Linked DNA regions of Caenorhabditis elegans. The protein of the gene in region 1 interacts with the protein of each later gene in a pairwise test. Each region holds a gene or a part of one and is shown in the gene's direction. Other genes may lie near its edges.

What was found.
Region 2: the proteins of meg-2 (region 1) and eya-1 interact in binary tests that used the Caenorhabditis elegans proteins (3 or more experiments, as listed by UniProt).
Region 3: the proteins of meg-2 (region 1) and bar-1 interact in a two-hybrid assay, tested with the Caenorhabditis elegans proteins (one study listed by BioGRID).

What each region holds. Positions count from the first base shown.
Region 1 is NC_003284.9:13,924,038-13,927,794, reverse strand, and holds the start of meg-2 (Protein meg-2), read left to right. Parts: upstream 1-1,665; 5' UTR 1,666-1,686; coding exon 1,687-1,825; intron 1,826-1,878; coding exon 1,879-2,181; intron 2,182-2,462; coding exon 2,463-3,757. Other genes in the region: Protein meg-1, read left to right, coding at 1-61, 112-252, 299-326.
Region 2 is NC_003279.8:14,229,263-14,233,019, reverse strand, and holds the start of eya-1 (Protein phosphatase eya-1), read left to right. Parts: upstream 1-1,659; 5' UTR 1,660-1,777; coding exon 1,778-1,795; intron 1,796-1,989; exon of another isoform or gene 1,990-2,031; intron 2,032-3,757. UniProt on the Caenorhabditis elegans protein: Tyrosine protein phosphatase. Acts probably as a transcription regulator in the embryonic and postembryonic development of several tissues including pharynx, vulva and gonads. Required for the development of anterior tissues during late embryogenesis.
Region 3 is NC_003284.9:7,168,745-7,172,501, reverse strand, and holds the start of bar-1 (Beta-catenin/armadillo-related protein 1), read left to right. Parts: upstream 1-1,876; 5' UTR 1,877-1,885; coding exon 1,886-1,953; intron 1,954-2,067; coding exon 2,068-2,194; intron 2,195-2,259; coding exon 2,260-2,355; intron 2,356-2,412; coding exon 2,413-2,517; intron 2,518-3,150; coding exon 3,151-3,297; intron 3,298-3,343; coding exon 3,344-3,468; intron 3,469-3,516; coding exon 3,517-3,631; intron 3,632-3,685; coding exon 3,686-3,757.

The sequences.
Region 1 (3,757 bases):
ATAATTTTGTTCGTATGCTTGATGAAAAGATCAACTTTTCGCCTGAGCCAAGCACTTCAAGGTATGTTAACCATAATAAACGAATTCCGATGTACTATTATTTCTTTTCAGTGATATTGCCAGCTCTGTGAAAGGCTACATGTCTCAATCCTTCCTCCACCAACAAGATGACGAAGCTCCTGATTGCACCAAGAATGTTCATTCTGAAAGTGATTTGAAACAAGCTGAGCCACAAGAATCGGACAAGCAAAGGTGAGACTTGTGAACTTATATAAATAACAAGCAATTTTTTTTTCAGTGACAAGGAATTGCCAAGCAATGAATGAGACGTTGGACAATTGGTTCGCCTACAAGAACACACTTACTGTGCTGCCATTTTGTACCATAACAATTCTATTTTTACCATACTAACCAATTTCACAATTACAAATTATATTTTCCTGTGATTTTCATCAACCATCAACCCATCTTGTGCTGTATTTGTATCTCATAGTAGAAACCTCCCAGCAACTAATTTTGACTTTTGGCTCGCCTGCCAACATCAATCTTATTACCCAATTTTGTACCATAACACTCTCTATTTCTACCACACTAACCAATTTCACGATTAGAAATTCTTTTTCCTGTGATTTTCTTCAACCATCTTGTATTGTACTTGTATCTCATAGTGCTCAGTTTCAGTCTTACCGGTTTTCCAGTCACTGTCCAGTACAATTTCACCGACTATTGTTGTTTATTTCGATAAAAATATTTTGTTCTAAATGTTTGAAATTTGTTGTAAAAACTGGAAATTACTAATCCAAACATATATCTTTCAAAAACAAATACCCATTGAATTATTTTGGTTTATTTTAAAAGTCATACCGTTTTTCACATGATGAAGATATTGAGAAAACGAGTTCAGGTTTAATGGTAGGACAAACTTGTAAAGTTCAATTATGATGTGGCTTGATTCGGTGCATTTTTATATTTTTCAAGTGATCAACCTAAGACCTCATTTGATCAACGAATGCTCGTATTTAACTAGGTTAAGTAGATAAAAACGTGTGGATCACTTTTTTAGTTAAAAGTTTCTTGCTGAAACGTATAGCTTTTGGAGCATACTTATTGGAAAAGTCTAAATAGTCGCCGAAAAATTGAAAGCGAGTATTGGCCAGCACTGTTTTAAATAGTTCAACAGCAGAAAATTGCACACCAATAAGACTTCAGAGAATTTTATTTTGAGAAACTCTGAACTATGCAATTTTTTCTTGAAATCCCTACAACTCTAATTTCTGCATACTTTAAACTCTCAAACGCCAGAATTTCATAAGGTTTCTGAGAAATTTCAAACGATCACATTCGCCCTTTCACAGCTAACTTAGGTTTTCAAATTCAAAGAAAAAAATCATGCATAAATAAGAACCGTTCCATTTTTATCTGTTCCAGTTTACAATGGTAAAATCAATAATTCGCGTGTGCACTGTTTTCATCATATCCATCGTCACAGTTCCGTCACGCACTTGCTGCGTCTCTTCCCTCTCACTTTTCCTTCCGAGGCACTCCATTCAGTCTTCGTTCCATTACACGTGGACAGTGGTCCGCTCTCTGTTTCATCTGCAGTTGTTGCGAAATCTCTTTTTTTTCTTTTTTCTTAACATTTTTCTACAATTTTTCAATTTTTAGGTTTCCATTTGTTGCGCGGCAATGGAAAATTGTGATGATCTTTCATCGGATGAGAATCTCCCACCACCCGGAGATCACCGTCGCGAACAGTCCCAAGAAAGAGCGAGAGTCGGGAATCGTGATGAATCAGTTTCTTCGACCAACATGCGTAGTATTGGAGGTAAAAAAAAATAAATTTAGATTCACTATATTTATTAAACCGGTTTGTTACAGGTGCAGTTCACAACCAGCAGCAACTTTATTGGACAGACATGTACAATGGCTCAAATAATTTGGAGAATTTTTGGCTGTGCTTCTCTGGAAACACGTCTCTTGCCGATGATCCAACCGTTCAATCCGATTCATCCGCGTCCACACAAAGTAGAACTAACCAAAGTGGTACAATTGCACAGGAAACGGACAACAGGAATGCAAGCAATTTTCCGCCACGATCAACAACTCGGCGTGGACAGACATATGAATCGAGAGACGAGTCTCAAGGAGGACAGGCGCCCTCACATCAGAACCAGGTTCCAGGTGAGCCTCAAATCTAAACTTTGATTAGAAAATTATCTACGTTCACAGTGCATTACTTCAACAGTCGGGAGAATCATATATTCATGTTGTATGAAATTTTCTCTCTTTATTTCTTACTGAAGTACCGGGTAATAATTGAATGAAAATAAGTTATCAAAACATAACAAATTGATAAGGTTCCAATTTCTATTTATTTTTTATATGAAACATTTATCGGAAACATAAGTACAACTTCATTTATTCTTTGGCACTTCATATATTAATAAGCTAAATTGTTTCAGGTGTTGATCGCGATGAGTATGCAGGTGACCGGAGTAACGTTTCCATCAATCTACCATCCGTAGATCAGTGGCGCGAATACAGTTTTTCTGATAATTCGTTTCAAGGCGAAAGCCGGACTGTCCAACGGAGATCATCCCGGGCCACACATCGCGTCAAAAATCAATTTGGCAGCATTGGAGATGGGAGAACGAGCAATAATACGAGCCTCCAAGAGCCAGTGATTCAGGATACAAGAAATCGAAATCGCTCTGAATCTTCTTCCACCATGTCATCGCAATCACGAACAGAACATGCTCCAATTTTCCGGTTGCAATATAATTACCAAAGAGAGGCAGACAATAGATCTTCACGATTGGTTCAAATACAAGGACATTCGGCTCCAAATAATGCAAACGGTCTACAAAATACGGGCGGTCAAGCTCCAGACATTGGTCCTGAGGTCAATGGTCAGAGTTCCGATACTCGAGCAATGAACATGGGTAATCAGATGGCTCAAGGCGATTCCCACGTTCCAATGAATTTCGTACCAAGACCTTTGTCTAACGGTGTTCCCAGGCTTCACGGAGTTCCCAGGCTTGTAGACATGTACGATTATGAACTTGCTCAGAGGGCTCATGCACGAAGATATCCGACTTCAAATATGCCATACGGTTTTCCAAATGCCGGCTTTCAAGCTCCTCCACACATGGGTTTGTGGCCAAATAATCAAAATGCAGATACTCGAGCAATGAACATGGATAACCGTTCGAGAGATCGTACCTTCCAGATGCCTCCTGCAAACGCTCAAGTTCCAACGAGTTCTCTGTCAGGTCTATTCAATTCATCTATAAATCACGGCTCCGGGAATCAACAGTTCCAAATGGGACAGAGCTCATCAGGTTCTGCACCTCAATTGCCTGCTCTTCCGGAAAATTTCCTGATGGCTCATGCAAACTCTCAAATTCCAACGAGTTCTCTGTCAGGTCTTTTCAATGCAATGAATCACGGCTCCGGGAATCGAATGAACCACAGCTCATCAGGCCCTGCACCTCAGTTGCCCAATCTGCCGGAAAGCTTCCTGATGGCTCATGGAATTGGTCAAGTTGAAACAAGGTCCCCAGCAGGTCCCTCCAATTCCTCCATAAATCACGGCTCCGGGAATCAACAGTTCCCAGTTCAACAAAGCTCATCACGCCCTGCACCTCAGTTGCCCAATCTGCCGGAAAGCTTCTTGATGGCTCATGGACTCTCTCAAATTCAAACAAGTTCCACAGCAGGTCCCTCCAACTCATCTATGAATCACGGCTCCGGGAAT
Region 2 (3,757 bases), on another chromosome or scaffold:
TTCCAGGTTCATAAACTGTTCGAGAAGCCCACAGAAGCATTTTTCTCGAGAGTTTCCGAATTCGACCTGCTAATTTTTGAAAGCAGTACCTGAATTATTGAAAACTTCTTATTAAGACTTCTAATTTTATTTTGCTATTCAAATTTCATATTTTCTAGAACTTTTCAACTTTTTGTCCGACTGGCTCAGTGGGATTTTGGGTGACTACCAATTTCACCACCTGGGTTCGAGTCCGCGCCTTGGCATATTTTTTTGTTTTAGTGTTATTTGGCTAATATCGACATTCTGAATCCGAATTTCAAGGTCCCATGCCTTAAAACTCAATGGGTTTCCTCCAAAATCAATATTCCATTGCAAAATCGTCCCTCGTCCCATATACTACTAAAATTGAAGTCAGCGTCTCGACTCTGTGCTCCCGAAAACTGAAATATGATCGCTTCGCCGCTTTCGCACGCTCCCCATCTCCCTATACTCTCAGAAATGAGAGGAAAATAAGGGAAGGGGGTAAAATCAACAAATAATATCGATTTTTTGAGAAGGTATAAAAGTTCGAAAAAATCACAAAGCAGTGTGGAAATGTCTAATTTTTGACCGAATTCGAACTCGGAAAGTCGAAATTTAGTAGAATAACACCAAAAAAAAAATTATGCCACATCGCGGACTCGAACCCCGGACCTCAGATTGGTAGCTGGCTAGAATCCCACTGAGCCACTCGTACACAAAAAGAAATTAAGTTTGAGCCGACCTAGCAAGTCTTTCTGGTTTTGAGAGTTGAAAATTCGAATTCAGGAGATTTGTATTATTCTGAGAACAGCAAAACAAAAATTCATGCCACAGTGCGGACTCGAACCCCGGTCGTAAGATTGGTAGCCGGCCAAAATCCCACTGAGCCATTCGGCCAAATTTTCAGAAAAACTTGAAAATTACGGTTTGAGCTGATTTTTCAGCAATTTCGATATATTTTTTTTTTCCAATTTTGAACTTGTTTTAAAGTTGTTCAAGCTATTGGAGACCAAGCTTCGAAGGGATATATATATATCCCCAAAATGTTGAAAATGTTATTACAAATAGTATATAAGTCAGAAATCCGTGTTCAGCAGGGCTTGTATAGTCAAACCAATAAATAAAAAAATTTATGACACAGTGCGGACTCGAACCCCGGTTGTCAGATTGGAAGCCCTCCAAAATCCCACTGAGCCATTCGAGCAAATTTTCAGAAAATCGAGGTTTGAGCTGATTTTTAAAAATTTTGAGCATTTTTTGGGACTGTTCAGCATATGTCTCATGTGTGCTAGGTGCAATGAGCTATTAAAATTTAAGCTTGATAGTTTATTTTCAATAAAAAGTTAAAAATTTGTATGTTAAAAATTCGTGTTCAGCAGGGCTTATATAGTCGAACCAACAAAGAAAAAAAATTATGCCACAGTGCGGAGTCGAACCCCGGTCGTCAGATTGGTAGCCCTCCAAAATCCCACTGAGTCACTCGTACAAAACTTTTTTTTCAAAATTAATTTTTCAGAATCCGAAAATAATGCGATTTTCCACCAAAAGGCGGAGCTCCGAGCAGACAGCCGACTGGCTCAGACATACGGTAGCTCAGGGGTGAGAGCTCCGAGAGCTCAGAGAGCCGGCAGAGAAAACGAGAGCACACACACACACACAAATACATCAGAGTCAGTCTCTCCCTGCTTCTGCGTGCCAGTTGCTCAAATTTTTGCTCAACAATTTCCAAATCTATATATCTGAAATTGTTCGCAATTCCTGAATCAAAAAAAAAATGCTTCCAGATTCTGAGGTGAGTTATATGTCGCTTCAGGGCGCCCCCGGGCGCCCGGTACCCCATCCCAAAAGTATCAAATATCGGCATGGTGATGAAACTGGAGAAAGTTCTGCGAGAAGGGTCTGTCTGTAAGATGAGCTCTTCCAAGACACCCCCCCCCCCCCCCCCCCCCCCCCCTCCATGTACCTCCTTTCCCCATTCAGTACCTAGACAGTTCTAGCTAACCTCTCCTACAATGTTCTCTGTATTTTGTGAGTTTTCTAAACCGTGAACTTTAATTTAAAAAACTCGAAAAATCGATATTTCTAATCTTAAAAATGTTCCTGAATGGCGCAGTGGGTTTTTGGACAGCTTCCGAGCAGAAGCCCGGGGTTCGAGTCCCCGCTGTAGCATTTATTTTTGTTTTTGTGTGGATGAGCTATATAAATGATTCTTGGCTTTAATTTCCTTGTAACCCAGAAAAAAAGCTCTCGGAGCTCAAAACGAGTAGAACTGCGAATTTTAATGGTACGGGGTTGGGGTTTCAGATAAAAATGTAGATTTTTAAGCTGAAATAAACTTTTTTCAGAGCTTTTACTCTTCATTTTTCGCAATTTCGAAAATTTGGTCCAAGTGGCGCAGTGGGATTTCGGATGACTTCCAATCTGACGACCGGGGTTCGAGTCCGCACTGTGGCACAATTTTTTCATTTTACTGTTTCTAGATTAATTTGAGTGCGCTGAGTTCAAATTTCTATCTTTTAAACTTCTAGGTTGAAGTTTTTTAGTAGAAAATTCCGAACTTTGTTGCAACTCGGAAAAATAAACAAATCAATAATTAGCGAAGTTTATAATCCACGTAAACAAATGTCTGGGTCACCTGGTGCTCAATGAGCACACTTATTTTTGATTTTCACTATTTTTCCAAAAAGATACATTTTTAACTAGGAACTTGCTCCGAATCGCCTTTTAAACTGACATTAATCAGAAAAATTATCAAAAATTATGATGTACATCCCTATTGTAAATTTTGGATTTTTTTTTTGGTCAATTTATGCGACTAGTTGATTTTAGGCACCCCTTAGTCTTTTTCCAATACCCAGTTGAGTCTAGATACCCCCTCACGCAACCATATTACATCATTATATAGCCATCATTAGCCAACTTGCAACAGTTGGGGGGACCCCCTGTGGTGACGGGATCGAATTCAGAGGTCTTGGGGCTCTTCGATGCACAATTTCTGTGGCAAAGCAGTAAAAAATCCAAAAATAAAATTTCGAAAATTTGGTGCAAGTGGCTCAGTGGGATTTTGGTGGGCTTCCAAGCAGAAGACCGGGTTCGAGTCCGCGCTGTGGCTTAATTTTTTTTTTTTGGTGTTTTAGACTAATTTGGGTATAGGCATGTCGAAAATTTTAGTCACGAGTCAGAAAATGGCTCAATGAGCATAAGAGATGAGTTTGAAAATTTCCTGGCGCTTATTTTTAAATTTTTAAAACCCTCGTAACTTTAAAACTAGAATAGCAAGAAAAAAGTTTCCAACCACAAAATTGTAGGAAATTTTCCAAGTAATATTTTGCTAGTTGACAACTTTCCTCGAACTATGCTCTCCACCGAGTTATGGTAGAAATCGCAACACCTGTTTGGTGGCGGGGAGCTCTGAGAAAACTCCCGCGGCTCTTTTCTTACCTGTTCGCCGGCGGTCACTTGAAACTAGATACCCTTATACCTTTTTTCCGCACCGGGCTCTTACTAAGTTTTAGGGCTTTTGGGGAACCCTCCGGGATTGATTCAAGTCAAATTTTTTTGGCCGGTTTTTATCAAAATTTTAATTTTTTCACTCATTACTTCACTGCCCCCCGGCCTAGTTATCACCTCCACTACCGTGTATTTGAACAACAGCGACATATGTAAAGCTCCTGTGCTACTGCTCGCCGAGCAAACAAATACAGATGGCATTGTTTGTGAAGCACCCCGTCCGACGCCTTGAAAGTAGTGAGGG
Region 3 (3,757 bases), 6.8 Mb from region 1:
ATTCTTTTCTTCAAAATTGATAATATGTATCATTATCATGTGTTAAAATTTTCATTTCTCGCAATCTTTACTTATCATCTTTTTAGAAACCCAACTTTGGAATATTGACGCCTGTATTGAAAAATTGGTGAAGGATTGAAAAATTTCAGTTAAAAAAAGTTATTTTTTTATGAGATCCTTTTTGCAATAGTCATAAATAACACACATTGCAAGTTAAAATAACTTTTGAGGTTAAAAATGTTTTTTTTTAGCACAAGACGGAAGCACTGATTTTTTAAATATTCCAATTTCCTGTAAGATTTTGAAATGTTAAATGATGTCTTTATGAAAGATTGCTCATAAGGAGAACACTGTTATCAGTAAACCCCCGACATGGAGCACCCGTTGCAACACTTTTCTCCATTTCTTAAACAAACTATTCTTCTTTTATTGCTTTTTCTCGACGTAATTTCACTTTTTTCCGGTTGTAAAATAATAATATATTATAAGTTTTTACAACTTAAAAAATAAATTGAGCAAAAACTTTTTCAGAATAGTATGAAAGATAGTTAATTCATTAATATAATTTTTAAGTTGTAGTCTTTATGACATTGTGTACATAACAAGTAAATGCAATTTGTCTGTGAAAGTGTTTAAATGTACAAACAATAGGCAACTCATACCCACTAAATGAGTCATTAACGTGTCCTTCAAAAAATCAAAGTTCATAGTATTGGAAAACAGGATAAAAAGTCATATTAATGATGATGCTTTTCTTCAGCGGAAATAAAAAAAAACCTTTTCAAAAGTGTATCATGAAAATTAGCAATTGATCCATTGCATGAAACAATAAAAAAAACATAATTTATAGTAGTGAACTCCAATAAAATTATAATAAATAACAATCAAAGTTTTGCTTAAATAATTTGAATGCCAGAAACTTAGCCTGAAAGAAAATTAACTTTTTTTTATCATTCACAGTTTGCAATTTTATCCTGCAATTTGAAAGTTAACACAATTTTTAAAAATTATTTTTAAGGTTGTACTCTTGGTTATTCTAATTTGCCATGATTAACACTTTCCTATTGACCAAACTTTTGTCTAAAATGAATAATCCTGATAACGATTCTGTCTAACGGAAACCAAATGATGGCTTGTTTGATTTTCCACTAGAAACCTTTTGAAAAACAGCAAATCTGGGTCGTTATGCTGATATGATATAAATGAATAAGAAAATAAAGAAGAATAAAAATGAAGGACTTGATAAATAAGAGTCGACTAATTATCCCAACTGATAATTTACGACTAAGCTATCCCATTTCTATTTTCTCTCCCAGCCTTCCCAGTTCTCCTCCCAAATACATCCTTATCAAAGTTGTTTCCCCCGTCTTTCCCGTTTGTTCATTTCAAACCCACAACTGATGACTGTGTGCCTTCTCGTTTCACCACAGATAATCATTATTATTGAAACATACCTCTAAATTTTATTAGCCAATTTCACACCTTTGGCTGCTCACTCACTGATAGGTGATTGAAAGCACGAAAGAAAATGGGTTGAATAATGCGAGCGGGACGGGCAAGGGGATGGGAATGATTGGGGGTGAAATAGAAGCCATCTGATATCAATAGCCCTTTACTCTAGGTTAGGTACAAACCGCTCATTTCTATTATTGCTTTTTCTTCATTACACAAGCCTTAGACTCTCTATCTCACTATTTCACCGCCCCATCACCACACACTCTTTCTTGTGCCCAGCAGGAAGATTTGTAATGTTTTCAAACATTTTGTTCATTCAGTTTTTTCACTGCTTTTTCCTATTTTTTCTCTTCATCCGGCAGACAAATCGTTTTTCTTGTTCGAATTGATTCATAAAAAAATATTTGGCTTTTTTTTTCAGAAAACTGGGATGGACCTGGATCCGAACCTAGTTATTAACCATGACGACACAAATTTATCAGAGGCATCTTTTACAATGTAAGTTTTTTTGATTGAACGAGCCTGCAAATTTGAGGAAAAGAAACAATTTATTTTGATGTTGGGAGTTATCAAAAAAAAAATTTTAAAACTGTTTTAAAATATTTTTTACAGGGAGCAACACACCTCGAGCTATTCGGATATACACATGGGCTCAACGCCCTGCACCGGCCACCGCAAGGTGGATATGTGGCGGAATCACAACTTTGATAGCGGTTTCCAAACAATGAATCACAGTGAGGTACGAGAAAACAGAGGAGAGATAGACACACACACACAACAAAGATTAATGTGTTTCAATTTCAGGCTCCATCTATTATATCATCTCTACATCCGTCATCGCATCTTTCCGGAATGTCATCCATGGCCGACTATGAGCCGATCCCCACTCTTTCAGATCAAGTAAGACCATTTCATATCAAAATGCGCTGGTGGACAAAATTGTTATTTTTCTTCCAGCAAAAACAAAAGTTTGATGGGATCACGCAAAATCAAGCGGATGGGCAGTATAACACAGTTCGAGCAATTCCAGAACTCACTATGCTTATGAAAGATCAGGATAATGTAAGATTTTTTTGTTCAAAACTTTTTTGAAATATTCATACTCATAATTTCACAATATATGAATTAAAAAAATCCTCGGTTTTGACCTATTTTTTATATTTTAATTATATTCAAACATCTTGTATTCCAACATGCAACAATGCTCGAAATGTTACAAATTTTTGGAAAACTTAGCAACTTATCAGAACTGTGACTGAAATTTTTGAAAAAAAAACTTTAAAAAATTAGAAACGTATGTCTACTATTACTATTATTACTATTACTATTACTATTACTACTATTACTGGACTACTATTATTTCATTTAGGTATAATATGATGTTAATTGATTTTTAACTTTCAATTACTCAAAATAAATTATCAAATCTACAGTAAGAAAAATATTTAGTCGAATTTATTCACTTAAATTTTCAAATCACAAAATCTGAAATTAAACTATGAACTTTTGATTTCAGTACTGATATTAACACAAAGATAAATTGGTTCTAATGCTGCTTACTGATGAAGCCGGTGTTTGAACTTTTGATTGTTTGTAACATTTAAAATCGATTATCAAAATTGAAGTATCTGGAAAAAATTTAAAAAAATTGATTGTTCTGCTGAAAAAAACATTATTCAAACAAAAATCTTACAGGAGGTTGTGCACAAAGCTGTAATTCTGATGCAAAATATTGCGAAGATGGAGTGTGACCCAATGCGACGGCAAAATGAAGCTCGAATTGTGGACCCCCGTGTTATATTTACACTGCGTGATCTTCTCCGTGACAAAGTTGAATTCCCGGTATAGCTTGTGCACTTGCACAGTTTAATACATCATATATTTTCAGAACATCATTCGTTGCACTTTGGGAACATTCTTCCACATTTGCAACCGACAGGAAGGAATTGATCTTGTCACTCGAGCGATCGCAGAACAACCTGATATAATTCCAAATCTTATTAGGCATATTGGGTAAGAAAGTTAAATTTCAGAAAAAAATCATTCAAATAGCTGTTACAGTACTTATCCAAGTTCAATATACAAATATGCCATTCTTACTATGCATTCGATTCTGTCCGATAAGCAGAGAGGCGGACAAAGTGTGATCATTGCGCGTCAACAAGATGCGATTACTGTAAGATTAAAGAAGAAAAAAAATTGAAAAAAAAAAATTTACAAAAAATTGCAGCATGTGACTCCGTGGTTAGAAGCGGAGAAATCAGAAAAACTTCTTCCAGTGATAGTTGACTTGATCAGAGTT